Macaca mulatta: one gene and its partner. The protein of the gene in region 1 interacts with the protein of each later gene in a biochemical or structural test. Links are inferred from orthologs where the notes say so. Each region holds a gene or a part of one and is shown on either strand. Other genes may lie near its edges.

The links. The genes of interacting proteins can lie anywhere in the genome.
Region 2: the proteins of SNTA1 (region 1) and KCNA5 interact in a test that uses a peptide from one of them, tested with the Homo sapiens proteins (2 studies listed by BioGRID and IntAct). The link is inferred for Macaca mulatta from reciprocal best matches to the Homo sapiens genes SNTA1 and KCNA5.

What each region holds. Positions count from the first base shown.
Region 1 is NC_133415.1:86,164,089-86,167,275, reverse strand, and holds the end of SNTA1 (alpha-1-syntrophin), read left to right. Parts: coding exon 1-114; coding exon of another isoform or gene 115-146; intron 147-1,363; coding exon 1,364-1,551; intron 1,552-1,652; coding exon 1,653-1,745; 3' UTR 1,746-2,295; downstream 2,296-3,187. UniProt on the Homo sapiens protein: Adapter protein that binds to and probably organizes the subcellular localization of a variety of membrane proteins. May link various receptors to the actin cytoskeleton and the extracellular matrix via the dystrophin glycoprotein complex.
Region 2 is NC_133416.1:5,946,806-5,951,634, forward strand, and holds the start of KCNA5 (potassium voltage-gated channel subfamily A member 5), read left to right. Parts: upstream 1-1,695; 5' UTR 1,696-3,391; coding exon 3,392-4,829. UniProt on the Homo sapiens protein: Voltage-gated potassium channel that mediates transmembrane potassium transport in excitable membranes. Forms tetrameric potassium-selective channels through which potassium ions pass in accordance with their electrochemical gradient.

The sequences.
Region 1 (3,187 bases):
GTGTGGACACTCACCTGTTCAGCGTGGAGTCACCGCAGGAGCTGGCTGCCTGGACCCGCCAGCTGGTGGATGGCTGTCACCGGGCCGCCGAGGGTGTGCAGGAGGTGTCTACAGGTGTGCTGGGAGGATCTGGGAGTGTCCCTCTGGTAATGAGCCTCTTATCCCCAGGGGCATTCAAGCTTCCTTCTTTAGGGCACTTCAGGAGGGGACAGAAAATGGGGTTTGGAGGTTAAGGTGGGTGGATCACCTGAGGTCAGAAGTTTGAGACCAGCCTGGCCAACATGGCAAAACCCCATCTCTACTAATAATACAAAAATTGGCTGGGTGTGGTGCCTCATGCCTGTAATCCCAACATTTTGCGAGGATGAGGCAGGTGGATCACTTGAGGTCAGCAGTTGAAGACCAGCCTGGCCAAAATGGTGAAACCCTGTCTCTACTAAAAATACAAAAATTAGCCAGGTGTGGTGGCGGGTGCCCGTAGTCCCAGCTACTCAGGAGGCTGAGGCAGAAGAATTGCTTGAATCTGGGAGGCGGAGGTTGTAGTGGTCCCAGATTGCACCACTGCACTCCAGCCTGGGCAACAGAGCAAGACTCTGTCTCAAAAAAAAAAATAATAATAATAATAATACAAAAATTAGCTGGGCATGGTAGTAGGTGCCTGTAGTCCCAGCTATGCAGGAAGCTGAGGAACAAGAATCGCTTGAACCCGGGAGGTGGAGGTTGTGGTGAGCTGAGATTGTGCCCGCTGCACTCCAGCCTGGGTAACAGAGTGAGACTGTTTCTCCAAAAAAAAAAAAAAAAAGGAAGTTGGGTTTGGGCCCTCTGTTTTGGATGTGCAGGTGCCCTGGCAGGCAGAGACTCTTCTCCCTGGGGTTTTCTTGCTCCAGCTTTGTCAATCTGCTGGTGAGGATGTGAGAGATGGCACTTGGGGTAGGGTTGCCAGAGGAAATACAGGACACCCAGCCTCATTTGAATTTCAGGTTAACAATGAATACTTTTTTCATAGAAGTATGCCCAAATTAGTCATTGTTTATCTGAAATTTAAATTTAGCTGGGCAACTCTGCAGGTCTCCAAGGGCGGTGCTTGGTCGATCTGATGATGCCTTTATCAGGAGTGAGCCTCCAGTCCATGGCAGATTTTAAGCTCCCCCTTTCTACTTGTGGACTGGAAGTGGGTGTAGGTCCTCTGAGGGTGGGGGTGATGACTCTCTGCAGGGTGGGTGTACAGGTGCCACGACAAACAGTGAGCCTCCCGTCCCTGGAGGCATTCAGGCCCCACTTTGTAAGCTGCGGTGGGGGTTGGAGGTTGGGGTGTAGTGTCTGAGGTGCCAGCTGTGCCTGTACCTATGTGCCCTCCCTGCAGCCTGCACATGGAACGGGCGTCCCTGCAGCCTGTCTGTGCACATCGACAAGGGCTTCACACTGTGGGCGGCTGAGCCAGGTGCAGCCCGAGCTGTGCTCCTGCGACAGCCCTTTGAGAAGCTGCAGATGTCTTCAGATGATGGTGCCAGTCTCCTTTTCCTGGACTTTGGAGGTGCTGAAGGCGAGATCGTGAGTGAGGGGCTGCCTTTGCACCCTGGGGAGGAGGGGGTATGCACTCTTGGAGGCCAGGCTGGCCAGGGCCCTGACTCTTCTCTCCATCCACCCTGCAGCAGCTGGACCTGCACTCGTGTCCCAAAACCATAGTCTTCATCATCCACTCCTTCCTCTCGGCCAAAGTCACCCGCCTTGGGCTATTGGCCTAGAAGTCACCGGATGCGCTAGCCCTGAAGAGGGGTATCCATGACATGGCCTGAGCTGGGCCTCCACCGACTGCCTGCTCACCCCTGGGCTGAGGGAAGGGAGAGGAGAGGAACAAGGGCCTCTGAGACCCCACCCCTGAGGGAGACTGGATTGGTCTTGGGGCCCGGGGCCCAGGACCCAGACCCAGGACAGAGTGGACTCTGCCTGTGATGGGGTGGCCCTCCTGCTGCCCCCCACCACCAGTGCCTTTTGCGGAGAGATATTTTGTGTACACAGAAGCCATTCCGAGTCTGGGACCTGCCCCTGTGCGGATCCTGACCCCAGCCAACAGCTGAGCTGCCAGGCCTCCTCGAGGCCCCTAAGCCACCCCTAGAGGTCCCATCTGAAGCTGGAGTCCCCTGGGGTCAGCGGCAAGAGAAACAAGAGGAGACTTTGTTTGTTTTTCCCCTCAGCCCTGCCACCTTGGGGAGTCTGGTTTTTCTCTTCATCCTCTCTCTCCTCCTTACTCTTGGATAAATAAACAGCCTGTGAGACACAGGCAGCCTGGCCCAGTGTCTGTGGTCTGTGCCTTGGCCTTTGGGTCCTGGGGTGGCCCCTGCAGTCCCAAGATGGACCAGACCAAGGACTGGGGCACCTTTCCCTGGAGAAGAACAGACTTTTACCACATGGGCCAAAGAGAGTGTATTGGTTATCTATTGTTGTGTGACAAATTACCCCACATTTTTACAGCTTAAAATGACAAATATTCATTATCTCTTAGGTTCTGTGGGTCAGGGATTTGAGAGGGGCTAAGCTGGGCTGTTCTTGTCTCAGGGTCGTTCATGAGGTTGCAGTCAAATTGTCAGCTAGGGCTGCAGTCATCTGAAGGCTTGACTGGGGCTGGAGGATCCATTCCAATACTGCTCATGCACATGGCTGTGGGTAGGAGGTCTCCGTTCCTCACCATGTAGGGCTAACCCTAGAGCTGCTGCTTGAGTTTTCTCATGATATGGCAGTTGGCTTTCCCCACAATGAGACAGAAGAGAGAGCAAAGAGGAAGCCACAAACAGTGCCTCTTACGACCCAGTCTTGGAAGCCATACACTGTTGCTTCTGCTTTGTTCTATTTGTTAGAAGTGAGTCACTAAGTTCAGTCCACACTCAAGGGGAGGGGAATTAGGCTCCACTTCTTGAAGAAAGGAATGCCAAATAATTTGTGGATCCATTTTAAAGCCATCTTAGAGAGCTTCAGGACCCTTTCCTGCAGAAGGGAGGTGGAGTGGAATGTGTTTGGTGCTTCGGAAACTGCGATGTGCTGACTGGATGTGAGTGGGTGGTGGTTATGACTCCCTACTAAAATCACGACGACAACAGCAATGATGAATTTTTTTTTTTTTTTTTTTTTTTTTTTTTGAGATGGGGTCTTGCTCTGTCACCCAGGTGGGAGTGCAGTGGTGTGTTCTCAG
Region 2 (4,829 bases), on another chromosome or scaffold:
GTTTCTTGATTTCAAAATATCTCTATCTCTCTGTTAGCTCCCTCCCTCTCTCTCATCTACCTACCTATCACTTATAAATTGATAAATAGGTAACTAGAGAGTAGCTAGCTAGAAAGGTAGGTAGGTAAATAGACAGATAGATTGATGGATAGATATATATACTGTGGTAGATACCATTCGTAGACACAATAGCTAGATAGCTAGATACATACATACATACATACATACATACATACATACATACATACATAGAGATAAAAATCTATTCTTATGGGAATGTGATCTCTAGACAGGTGCATCAGTATCACTTGGGTGCTGTGTGAAATGCACTCTAAGCCCTACCCTGGTTCAGAGTCTGCATGTTAACAAAATCCTCAGGTAATGGTGCACATTAAGCACTGCTATAAAAGAGTTAACCTCGTAGGATTAGATAGACAGTATAGAAGGCAGCTTTCAGTTATATAATGAGTGCTCTGGGAAGAAGACAAAGATTGAGTTAGGAGTATAAGAGGTTTACTGGGAGATAATAAAGAAAGATAAAAGTGATAGGAAGAAGAGTTCATTAGGGAAAACATTCAGATTATGATGCTGATCTGGCACTTGTGAAAGGAAAGAGGGGAGGAAGAGGGGTTGGACAGAGAGAGTCTCAGAGTGCAATGCAGATCTTTCAAAGTCTTGGCCAATCTGTTGGGGAAATGCAGAGCAAAGATTGCCCATTAGTGGAAATCTGCACTGGGTAGAAATGGTCTTTGTAACCCTGCTGTGCTCAGAGAGCTACCCTGAAGGAGTTTGGCCCCTGCACTAAAGCTGAGGCAGAGCCAGAAAGTGACAACAGCTGGAGGCGGTCAGCTAACTGCACTCTGGCAGTTGAAAAGCAAGTTCTTTCTTTAAGGGAGACTTGAGCAGTATACCTCCATGGCTACCACATGTGGCATCTGAAGGTAATTTTGCAAGAAACCTATAAGAACTGGCAAATGCATGGGAAACAGATTTAAGGAAATACCACATTAAAGGAGGCCTGGGTTTTGTGCTTTTCCTGGACTGTTTATGTTGTACTCTTATTCTTCAGGGAACAATCTCCCAGAAAGCCCCTGAAAGACAAGCTCCAGAGAACTCTTTCCTCTGGGGAGCCCGAGGAGAACCCATGTGAACGAATATGGCATCCTTATACTTACAAGATGCATCAATCAGTAGACAAGCTCAGTAAGTCCCAGCCTCCCCAGGAAAATACCTGATCCTAACTGGCAATCTCAGAGCCAGAGAAGAAAAAAAGCCCACTGGAGATGAAGCAGGGATAGCATAGATATGGGGAAAGGGAATGCAAGGCCCTGTGGTTCAACAGTGATGCCTTCACATACTGATTTTCATATTCATGCCCTTCCTCACTCATGCACATCTGCAAAGACAGCCAACAATATGCACAGTCACACACAATGAAAATACGTACACCAAATTCACATCCATTTTCACGTATAAACTCTTAAAAAGCCATATGTACACACACTTCTCAAACCTTGACCCAAGTTTGTATGTCTATGCCCTGCTATTGCAACACACACTCATGCACCCAGGACCAAGTTTCCAAATCACACCCTGTGGATAGAGACATTCATTGACAAGAGGTCCTAACTTCACGCATATAAATCTGAAACAATATACAGAAATAAAAATAGACAATGAAAACAGACATTCAAAAACACAGCCACTTTATGATAATTTAAAACCAAGAAACTTCTGGAGACTATGTCTGGCAGTTCCAGGCACACACCTTGAAACAGATTTCTCTTGGTTACCAATGCCTGCTAAAACCGTGTAGCGGTAGACACAGGGCAGGGGAAGATTCTCTAGTGTCCCAACCTAGAAAGATTAATATGTTATATCAGCCATCCTCCTGCCTCCTGCAGCAGGGAACTAAAGTTCTCAGGCCAGATGTTGGAGTGAGGGAGTGCTTGTATCAGGAAAAGGGATTATGCATTTCTATAGAGAAGTGAAATACAGGGGACAAGGGCCAAACTCTGATTGTCTGAGTTTGAGTTCCAGCATCATCACTTTCTACTGTGTGAGCCTGGGTGAGTCTGTCAATCTCTCTGTGCCTCAGTTTCTTCGTTTGTAAAATGGTGATGATAACAGTACTTACAAAACAGGTTGCTGTAGGAATACGCAGAGACAATATTTGTGAAGTGCTGAGAATGGGCTGGTGCATAATAACAGCGAAGTAAGTATTGGTTGTTATTATTCCACTCTTGGGATTTCTCCAGCCTTGGAGATTGGACAGCCTCCCTGGCTCCCTCTCATAAGCCACCTCCACCCTCTGCCTCCTTCATGGACCTAGATGCAGTTGTTAGCTCCAAGATTCACCAGACAGGATTAGCCTTCACTAGGATTGTAAAAATCTCTTCTCCTCTCCCCTGGTGTGGTTTTCGCAAATGGGATTCGTTGGAGAGGGTGCAGGGGTTCTGCTGGGTTGAGACCAGACAGCCCATCTACTGACTAGGCTGCTTGCCTGGGCTGCCACTGGGTCCATACTGGAAACAGGCTAGGGCATGCGAATCCTGCAAGTTTCCAACCCTCTAGTACATTTTTGTGGATCTGCAGGAAGACGAGAAGAGAGATGCTTCTCCATTGATATATGTATTTCAAGGTCCGAAACTACGTGGGCCCCCTCCCTTCTGTAATTCTTCCCAAAGAAATACCGTTATTTCTCCAAAATAAAAAGGACTGGTGTCTCCTGTCTCTGTCTCTCATACTCCGACTCAGCTCAAAGCCTCTTCCCTTTAGCCCAAGGCACTTCGTTCCCCCTGGAGTCCACTCGGCTTCCAGCGGGTTCCCAGGTGAACCGAAATCCAGAGCTATTCTCATCTGGTTGCCCTGGGAATTTCAGCGCTCTCGGTACAACCTGTTCCTCCATCCTCCCCACTCCTTCCCTCCCTCCGCTGGGCTGCACCCCTCTCAGCCCCTCCTTTCCCTTGCTAGGGGCACCAGCTGCGCCCTTCGGGGAGACACTGGCTGCCACAAGACCCGGGAGGCGAAGCGGGAGGAGGGGGAGGGGAAGCAGGAGGAGGGGGAAGGGAGAGGGGAAGGCGGGGGAGGCGCCGAGGGTGGAGGCCAAGCGCAGCGCAGCCAGAGAGGGACGGCTGAAGGTTGCATCTGCTGGAAGGAGGCTTTTCGGCTGCTTGGTAACGGGCTGCCAGAAGAGAGAGAGGCAGAGAGCAGGGCAGCGGCTTCTTGACGTCAGGGCCAAGCGAGGGGATCGCGCCAGCAACCCCAGCTCGCCCCAGAGAGGGGCCGGCCGACCGCGGGAGCGGAGCCTGACGGGAGGTGCCCGGGGAGCGTGAGTAGGGGGCGCGGGAGCAGGTCAGCTGGGGCGCAGCATGCCCGCTGCTCCCGCGCCATGGAGATCGCCCTGGTGCCCCTGGAGAACGGCGGTGCCATGACCGTCAGAGGAGGCGATGAGGCCCGGGCAGGCTGCGGCCAGGCCACAGGGGGAGAGCTCCAGTGTCCCCCGACGGCTGGGCTCAGCGATGGGCCCAAGGAGCCGGCGCCAAAGGGGCGCGGCGCGCAGAGAGACGCGGACCCGGGAGTGCGGCCCTTGCCTCCGCTGCCCAAGGAGCTGCCACAGCCTCGACGGCCGCCTCCCGAGGACGAGGAGGAAGAAGGCGACCCCGGCCTGGGCACGGTGGAGGACCAGGCTCTGGGCACGGCGTCCCTGCACCACCAGCGCGTCCACATCAACATCTCCGGGCTGCGCTTCGAGACGCAGCTGGGCACCCTGGCGCAGTTCCCCAACACCCTCCTGGGCGACCCCGCCAAGCGCCTGCGCTACTTCGACCCCCTGAGGAACGAGTACTTCTTCGACCGCAACCGGCCCAGCTTCGACGGTATCCTCTACTACTACCAGTCGGGGGGCCGCCTGCGGAGGCCGGTCAACGTCTCCCTGGACGTGTTCGCGGACGAGATCCGCTTCTACCAGCTGGGGGACGAGGCCATGGAGCGCTTCCGCGAGGATGAGGGTTTCATTAAAGAAGAGGAGAAGCCCCTGCCCCGCAACGAGTTCCAGCGCCAGGTGTGGCTTATCTTCGAGTATCCGGAGAGCTCTGGGTCCGCGCGGGCCATCGCCATCGTCTCGGTCTTGGTCATCCTCATCTCCATCATCACCTTCTGCTTGGAGACCCTGCCCGAGTTCAGGGATGAACGCGAGCTGCTCCGCCACCCCCCAGCGCCCCACCAGCCTCCCGCGCCCGCCCCTGGGACCAACGGCAGCGGGGTCATGGCCCCGCCCTCTGGCCCTACGGTGGCACCGCTCCTGCCCAGGACCCTGGCCGACCCCTTCTTCATCGTGGAGACCACGTGCGTCATCTGGTTCACCTTCGAGCTGCTCGTGCGCTTCTTCGCCTGCCCCAGCAAGGCAGGGTTCTCCCGGAACATCATGAACATCATCGATGTGGTGGCCATCTTCCCTTACTTCATCACCCTGGGCACCGAGCTGGCAGAGCAACAGCCAGGGGGCGGAGGAGGCAGCCAGAATGGGCAGCAGGCCATGTCCCTGGCCATCCTCAGAGTCATCCGCCTGGTCCGGGTGTTCCGCATCTTCAAGCTCTCCCGCCACTCCAAGGGGCTGCAGATCCTGGGCAAGACCTTGCAGGCCTCCATGAGGGAGCTGGGGTTGCTCATCTTCTTCCTGTTCATCGGGGTCATCCTCTTCTCCAGTGCCGTCTACTTCGCAGAGGCTGACAACCAGGGGACCCATTTCTCTAGCATCCCTGATGCCTTCTGGTGGGCAGTGGTCACCATGACCACTGTGGGCTACGGGGACATGAGGCCCATCACCG